2 linked regions of the Canis lupus familiaris genome follow. Each later gene encodes a partner of the first gene's protein in a complex. Links are inferred from orthologs where the notes say so. Each region holds a gene or a part of one and is shown on either strand. Other genes may lie near its edges.

Region 1 (4,269 bases):
ACCACTATGGAAAACACTATGGAGGTTCAAAAAGTTAAAAACAGAAATATTACATGATCCAGTAATTCCACTACAAAGTATTTACCCAAAGAAAATGAAAACACCAATTTGAAAAGACATATGCAATATGTTTATTGCAGCATTATTTACAATAGCCAAGATAGGGAAGCAACCAATGTCAGTGGTTGCATAGAGAAGATGTGGTACATATATATATACAATGTAATATTACTCAGCCATAAAAAAGAATAAGATCTTGCCATTTGTGACAACACGGATGGACCTAGAGGGTATTATGTATGCCAAGTGAGTAAGTCTGACAGAAAGGCAAATACCATACCATTTCACTTTTATGTGGAATCTAAAAAACAAAACAAACAAAAAAGCCAGACTCTTAAATACAGAGAACTTGTGGTTGCTAGGAAGGTGAGAGGTGGGCAAAACAAAGAGTATTAATAAGTACAAACGGTAAAAATAAAATACAGAGCTATTAGAAAAATAGAAAACACTAGCAGGGGCTGGCTTTCCACCATGATTCTAATATGGGCTCAATCAACTCCATCTCTGCACACTCTTGGGTGCTGAACCCTATATTCAATGCTGTGGTGAGACATCAAATCCTGCCTCTAAGTACATGGAATCTGCCTCTAAAGAACACTGTGGAAGTCGTGGTAAAATAAGCTTAAATCTACAAACCAAGAAGCTTTACAAGCCGCAGAGCTTTGACTTCCTTTATCCAATTCAATCTTCCAAATAACAAATAAAAATGGGGGAAAGAAATACTTACTGCATGTTAAGTACTAATGATAATAATAGAGGGGCAGCCCAGGTGGCCCAGGGGTTTAGCCCTGCTTCAGCCCAGGGCGTGATCCTGGAGACCCGGGATCAAGTCCCACATCTGGCTCCCTGCATGGAGCCTGCTTCTCGCTCTGCTGTGTCTCTGCCCCTCTCTCTCTCATGAATAAATAAAATCTTTTTTAAAAAATGATAATAAAAAAAAATAAATAAATAAAAAAAAAAAAAAAAAAAAAAGATAATAATAAAGACATATTAACTGAATGCTTACTACCTTCCAGATACTTAGAACCTTCAACCAATTAGATAATCTCTGAGCATGTTCTATGTGTCAGGCACTGGTAAGCATAGTGAATAATAAGCCAGACAAGATCCCTATCTACACACATCAACTCATTTAACCAATCCCATAAACTATTTCTCTTTGTCTCCACTTTATAGTTGAGGAAATTCTGGCTCAGAGAGGTTAAGTAACCCACTCAAGATCACACAGTTAAATAAGAGTCAGCGGCTAGATTTAAACCAAGACCACTGGATCTCAAATCTATGTGCTCCTCCACCGTACTTTTTTTTTTTTTTTTTTTTTTTTTTTTTAAAGACACTATCTATGGGATCCCTGGGTGGTGCAGGGGTTTGGTGCCTGCCTTTGGCCCAGGGCACGATCTTGGAGACCTGGGATCGAGTCCCACGTCGGGCTCCCTGCATGGAGCCTGCTTCTCCCTCTGCCTGTGTCTCTGCCTCTCTCTCTCTCTGTGTGTGACAATCATGAATAAATAAATAAAATCTTAAAAAAAAAAAAAAAAAAGACTATTTACTCATGAGAGAGAGAGAGGCAGAGACACAGGCAGAGGGAGAAGCAGGCTCCATGCAGGGAGCCCGATGTGAAACTCGATCCTGGGACTCCAGGATCAGGCCCTGGGTCAAAGGCAGGCGCTGAACCGCTGAGCCACCGAGGCGTCCCTCCTCCACGGTACCTTGACCCCAAGGTCACAACTCCAAAACGACATGTTTCCTAGATGCTTCCACAACGTCAGCTTTTCACCACGGGGCCATCTCAAGTCCTCAAGCACTGTGGATGACCCTGGTGATGGCAAGAAGAAACGCCTTATTCTTCTACTAACCTTCCCCAAATCCCTTCACTTACTCCTCAAAGTCAGTCTTCAGCGTCAGTGGGACAGGTACCGTAATCCCCAAATCTACAAAAATGAGGAACAGAACCAGAAAGTGACCTTGCACGCAAACAGAAATACACAATTACGGAGCACGAGGGGGGAAAAAAAGCAAGCGACCGATGCTTAAGCTCGCACGGCCCAGCGTGTGTGTTTGCTGCTGCCGCAGCGCAGCAGGAACCCAGGGCTCACGGCCACTGTAACCCGGCCTGGGATGCCTTGGCCAAAAACAAACCAATGTCACTGAAGGGAAAGGATGGAATGAGATGAAAGGCTGGTGCAGAGCCTGAGCCCTGGTCTCGTTTCAGAGGGAGGCGCACGAGTGTCAGGCGTTGGGGCACGTCCGGGAGGCGCCAGGGCAAGCCAGCGCTAGGGGATGGGAGACGAGGCAGCAGGCAGAGCAGGTGCGCCCCCGTCAGCCACCGCCGCTGTCACTGCGGGGGGGGGGGGGGGCGTTCCCCTCGAGGTCATTGCTACTCTCGTGGCTGAACGGCTCGGCGCCGGTGCCCCCCACAAGGGACCGAGGCCGGACCCCGCCACTTCGCAGCAACAGGAAACCGAGGCCCAAACCACCGGGTCGCTGAGCGGCAACCGGCCCAGCTCGCGGCGCCCGTCTCCTCCTCTTGCCCTCTCAAGGCGGGGCTGGCCTCCGGCGCACACCCCGGTGCACCCAACCTCCCCCCGAGCACTCACCTTCATGACCGCCAGGCCTGGAGGCCACCGAGACTCGACTAGGGAGTCCATGGTCTGCCCTGAGGAAGCTGGGGGGCTCGGCACCCACTGGCCTCCCGCGCTCCGCCGCTACTCGAAATTCCCCGCGCTACGCATGACAGCATCAGCCAGCGACGCGCCTGAGGCGAGCGCGGAGCCTGCTGGAAGTTGTAGTACGTGGGCGGAGCGCAGCCAAAGACGCTCTCACTGCGCACGCGCGGAGCTTCCCTTGGCCTCTCCGAGCCTTTAAGCGGTTAAAAAGCACACATCGAGCTTCCCTAAGGTGGCTCAGCGGTTTGGCCCCCCTGCCTTCGTTCCGGGGTGTGATCCTGGAGACCCGGCCTCGAGTCCCACGTCAGGCTCCCTGCACGGAGCCTGCTTCTCTCTCTGTCTCTCATGAATAAATAAAATCTTAAAAAAAAAAAGCGAAAAAAATAAATAAAAAATAATAATAAAAAAATAAAGCGCACATCAGGTTTTGCACACGAGTAGAGTCACAAATAAGGGCCTCTGGACTTTGAATAGTTCTTTCTTTTCTCAAGATAAAATTTTAATTTATTTTACTTTTCTGCAGGGATAAACCACCTTAACTCTGGCATGTTGCCTTTCAGATATTTCCTGTGCAGATATACAAATAATTGCTCCCCCCCCCATATCATTACATTAAATACATAGCTTTGTCAACTTGAGTTTTCTATTTATTTAACTATACATCTTAAGACCTCTCCATATTAATGATGTACATATTTACCTCATTCTTTTCAATAGCCACGTAGTCTATAACATAGATGTATCATAATTTATTAACCTGGTCCCATACTGTAGGACATTTAGGTTATTTCCAGTTTTCCATTATTGCAAAGAGTTGCAATGAACACACTATATGAACCTTGGCGCGTTTGGGCCAAGATATCTGGGGGATGATTTCCTATCAATGGAATTACCGGCTCAATTTGTGAATTTGTGTACTCTTTTAAAATTATGATAACTAGCACTAAATGATTTTTCAAAAAGGCTGATTTATACTAATACATTTATACATTTATACTCTCACCAACCAGTGTAAGAATGCCTGTTACCAAAAAAAAAAAAGAAAAAAAAATGCCCATTATGCAAATGTGAAGCTGACCAGCACACCACCCAGTCTGTGTATTTGACTCAGCACTCACCCACTGCCTTATGAGGGTCTCCATTGCATCAGGTCTCATAGCCAGTAAGTTTAGTTACATTGCTCAAGGGAGACCCCTGCTACTTGCCACTGGTACCCCACATGGTCCAGGCATTCATTCATTCAACAAATACTTTTTTTTTTTAAAGCACTTACCATTGTTCAAGCACTTGAGCTACCCTCTGAAACAGGCAGAGGTAAAGTTGTTGCCATAATACAGATAAAGACGCTGAGGCTCAGAGAGGTTAAGGCTTCACTTCTTTGAACTGTCTTCACAAGAAACTCTGGCACCCAATTGATTTTTCCCAACCTATGCCCAAATATTCATTGAACAATAATAATATTAACAGCATTTGGACAAAAAGGACTTTTAATACTTATTGCAATAATAACTGACATTCATTACGTGCTTGCATGTAAAGCATT
Region 2 (4,111 bases), on another chromosome or scaffold:
TATTCAATTTAATTAGGAAACTAGTTTTAGGAGAGTAGCCTTCTCCTATTTGCTTCAATTAGCAGTAGCTTTTAAAGTAATCAAGCTTCAGTTAGGTTTTTTCATCAGTCGCTATTTTAAAGATCTGCGCTACAGCTAAATCTACCTCTTTTATCAAGAGACTCGATACAAAGCTACCTTCCAACACTTGTCATAATCAAATTTTTGTAACCTGAAGCCCCTTGGAAAACTACCAAAGGTGCCATGTGTTCAATTCAGAATTAACAGAGAAAGGCAGTAATAAACCAGAGTAACAATGGACACGAACTGCAAGTTTTATTATTTGGATTTCACTCTTCGGAGCTAACGTGAAATTTGATTTTAAGCTTCAGAAGACAAACTTTTAAAACAAATATAGCATTTTATATACATATATCAATATGTAGTGATTGTCACATAGATACTTTGAAATTAGTCTACATAAAAATAGTTCTCTCCAGTCAACCTCAAACACATCAAGCCTCGATAACCAGAAGCCTTAATGGATTTATGCTGCTTCTAGCCCACTGAAAGTACATTAGGAATATATTCAATGATAAACTGCCCAAAGCCTAAAACAATGGCTTCCAAATGCCTCACCTATGGCTTTATAATGGCGAAGTTAAAAGGTTGCTTCCTGGACAGCTAACCCAAGTTTCTATGAGCAGGTCTCCCCAAGAAAACAACAAAACCCCCACAAAACGTGCAGTGGATCGTAATGGTAAGTTTTCTTATTTTTATCGGCCTCCGTACTTCCAAGTATCCAAAGGTAAACTGAAAAAAAGGTCACTTCCTCCTTACTAACCCCAACACCTCCTAACAAAACCCTATTTTACAAAAGGAGGCCGAGCGAGTATCAGGTTAGCGCCAGTCTCAAGGAAGGCATTTTTCCAGACTTTGGAGGCTATAGATAGGGCTTTAGACACCAGGCCACAGAGCTGAGTTCCAGAAGGCCCTGGCAGCCCAGCCCGGGCTCCCAGCCCGAGTCCCAGCTCTCTAAGCCAGTTCTCAAGGTCCTTTCGGGCGGCGAGGGAGAGTCGGGTTTCCGAGGATGGGTTAATAACCCCCGGACCTCGCGCTGCAGACCCCACCCTCGCTGCAGAGAGAATGGGGGGGGGGGGGCGCTTTTCATCCCAACCCTGCCCCTCAGCTAAGACCGCAGAGCCATCCAGCAAAACTGGTGCAGCAAGCAGGGAATATGATTCTGCAAGGGTCTGCTTTGGGGGGACAGAGGAAGGGGAAATGAAGCTTGAGCTCTAGGACTAGACGTCGGGGGGCTGACCCAAGTGGGCAGCGGGGAACCCTAGGACAAACCATAGCCATCTTTTTACTTTTGGGGGAGGGGTACCGAAATTTCTTACGTCGGCAGAGTGAGCAAGGATGAAGGAGTGCGAACCGGGACTGGGGCTGGGCTTCCTTCGGGACCCCTGGGCCCAGAGGAGGCCCTCTTAGGGTTAGGAGAGGAAGGTGTCCCGGATCCCCGCCCTGCAGCCCCATAGCTGTGGGGAGGAGCCGTCATCCAGGCGGAGGTGAGCGCCCTTACCGCTTGAAATCCCGCATGAGCCTCCTCCGGGCCGGAGTCGACATGCTCCCCAGCTGCCCCGCGGTCAGTCTGAAAGAAAAGAGTCCCGCGCAGCCCCCCCACCCCCCGGCGCGGCGGCCGAATCACTGTGGGTCACCGCCGCCGCCGAGGCTGCACAAACAACCCTGCAATGACGTCTCCCTCCGCCGCCTCCAGATCCCTCCGCCCTCCGCCAGTACCACGGGGTGAGGGGGTTGGGGGAGAAGGGCACGGGGCGTCTAGACCCGTTTTGGGAGCTCTGCGGCAGGGCTCTACCAATTTTGGCTTCCTAATATAATAGATAAATTAGTCCTCTCTGTTCTCTGATTGGAGGTTGTGGATTAAGAGACCCCGAAACCGAAACACCATCCTATGCCTCCCCCTTTTAGTAGTTTAAGCTCGACCGGGTGGGGACAGAGAGCCGCATCCGGGGCCAGAGATTTCAGGGAAAGGAGGTGGGATGACGTAAGGTCACGTGACCGCCGGCGGCGTTGTCAACAATCCACCCCTGAGGGGGAGGGGACGAAGTATCTAGAACCACGTGTCCCTATGACGAGGTTGGAACGGATCACGTGAAAGTGTCGTCTGAATCTGAGTCTCAGGTCTATGGAGCGGGTAGTTAAGTTTATGGGGTTGAGGGCGGGTATGGGTCTTTAGTAAGTTTTCCCTCCAGTTTCATGAAAAGGGTCTGCGGTCGTGGCGGAAGCAAAAGCTTGTTTTGCTTAAGTTTTAAAAACAGCTAAAAGTAATACGGACTTAAAATCTTTTCTGGTTGATTCAGTGGCTTATCAAATCTGGTACCTGGGGCAGAGTGAGGGAACCTCTGTTTTTCATAATTAGCCCAGCATTGAAATGTTGAGGCCCACACCAACTAAAATTCCCCGAAATGCTTCCATGAGGCCACCAAAGAGCCTGTATGTGCATCACAATGGGGTTTGCAGGGTTGGAAATTCCGAAGACAAAAAAAAAATGGTATAGAGATTGTCTTAAGGTTTGTTGACTATCTCTATGGAATTACAGAATTTTATTTTAACATAAGCCTCCTCTCATTTGAGGATTGGTGTCAAAATGTGTCAAAGTCCATGACTGGCTAAGATAGGGTACATGGAGATGAGATCGCAAAGCATTTAGAAGGGTGGCTGGTTGTCAAGAAAGCCTAAAAACTTGGATGTGGGGAAGAGATTTTGCAGACGTGGGTGGGAGTTATATAGCTAACCTGGATAACTCATTTCAGGTTTCCTACACCAGCAAGTAAGGTGCAGATGGGTCTGAGATGTCCACCAGGTTGCTCAGAGGTGTTGAGTTCCCTCCTTCCATTGCCTTTGATTCCTGGCCTCAGGGCTTTGCTGGTCTGGAGGACTCTGAACACCTTATATCCTTCTGGGTAATTCTTCAGCCCAAGGCATAGTGGGAGCGTTGCACCAAGTTGCCCATAGTTTCCTGGAAACTGAAAGCGTTAATTTCCCTCACTTTCTTGCTGTCTCCTTTTCTCAAAACCCTGAATTCTATCTTTTGCTTTTATAACTTCATTGGTGATCAAGTAAGCCAAACCTAACTCTTGATAGGTTCTGCGATGCATCCACAAATGAAATTCTGAAAGTTAAAAGCTGAATATTCTCATCTTTTGCCTCCCACAGTAGCGATCCTAATTCTCACCATAGCTAAGGATGAAGACATACGGGTCAGTATGTATGCAGTAAAATGCCAAAGAAAATCTTCAAAAAATATCCCTATTGGATCATTAGGTAGCAATGTGTAATTGTTCTGGAATCTCACAGTGTATGGAGGCTGTCAGGCCAGCAGAACCCCATGTCTAGTTTTTAAGCAATTAGATAATGTTTATCCCCCTTTTGCTGTGTCCTTTTATGTCGATTTGTTTTCTCAAGGAGGGCGTTTCTAAAAAGGAGTACTACGAGTTCGAAAAATTTCTAAGCATATAGCAAGTGTTCAAGAAACATTAAGAACCGTCTTAACCCCGTCTTAAGGATGAATGCCGACCCCTGTGGTCGAACTCAGGTCTATGGAATATTAATATAAATAGGTAACTTAGACGACCGTAATTACACAAGACTTCCTTGGAAGACTTGTTTTACAATGTGTCTCTATTTCACGACTCAAGCCATCCTTTTAGGACCCAGCACCTGCGGCATGTTGTTCTTTGGCCTGGGAGCAAGCCTCCACCCTTCTCTAGGAGACAGACTCTCGGGGCAGTAAAATGTGGATCCTCCCCTCACCTCTGCTCAAAACTCAAAACCAACCTTGTGAGTTGGTCTCAACCCATATAATCCCCACCCCGACCCCCAGAAAGCTTTCCCTGAGCCTAAGCCCACCGGCAACTCATTTTCAACCCTTTATGATTTTCTCTTCCGGGTCGGGCCGGGCCGGGCCGGGCGGATGTTCCTGTCTTGCGCAGTAGGTCCCGAGCGCGGGGGGTCTGCGGCGCCGTTGCCATGGTAGCGGGCTGCCGGAAGCTAGCCGCGCTCGCCAGCTCGGAAGCCTCGGTGTCCGGTTGTTCAGCCGGGTCTGCGCGGA

Evidence for each region. The genes of interacting proteins can lie anywhere in the genome.
Region 2: the proteins of RAD18 (region 1) and UBE2B are in contact, whole or in part, in a crystal structure (PDB 2YBF), measured with the Homo sapiens proteins. The link is inferred for Canis lupus familiaris from reciprocal best matches to the Homo sapiens genes RAD18 and UBE2B. Residues at the interface, in NP_064550.3 of Homo sapiens: Tyr342, Arg343, Lys344, Lys345, His346, Lys347, Glu349, Phe350, Leu353, Val354, Gln356, Ala357, Arg358, Lys359, Gly360, Tyr361; in NP_003328.1 of Homo sapiens: Pro20, Val22, Gly23, Val24, Ser25, Gly26, Ala27, Ser29, Glu30, Gln35, Asn37, Ala38, Val39, Phe41, Gly42, Pro43, Glu44, Glu49, Asp50, Lys54, Leu55, Val56, Leu73, Ser74, Asp151, Ser152.

What each region holds. Positions count from the first base shown.
Region 1 is NC_049241.1:9,230,897-9,235,165, reverse strand, and holds the start of RAD18 (E3 ubiquitin-protein ligase RAD18), read right to left. Parts: upstream 2,817-4,269; 5' UTR 2,709-2,816; coding exon 2,658-2,708; intron 1,992-2,657; exon of another isoform or gene 1,917-1,991; intron 1-1,916. UniProt on the Homo sapiens protein: E3 ubiquitin-protein ligase involved in postreplication repair of UV-damaged DNA. Postreplication repair functions in gap-filling of a daughter strand on replication of damaged DNA.
Region 2 is NC_049232.1:22,531,302-22,535,412, reverse strand, and holds the start of UBE2B (ubiquitin-conjugating enzyme E2 B), read right to left. Parts: upstream 2,940-4,111; 5' UTR 2,796-2,939; intron 2,182-2,795; exon of another isoform or gene 2,060-2,181; intron 1,631-2,059; 5' UTR 1,606-1,630; coding exon 1,562-1,605; intron 1-1,561. Other genes in the region: uncharacterized protein LOC119876780, read right to left, coding at 2,972-3,026, 3,910-4,111. UniProt on the Homo sapiens protein: E2 ubiquitin-conjugating enzyme that accepts ubiquitin from the ubiquitin-activating enzyme E1 and transfers it to a E3 ubiquitin-protein ligase. In vitro catalyzes 'Lys-11'-, as well as 'Lys-48'- and 'Lys-63'-linked polyubiquitination.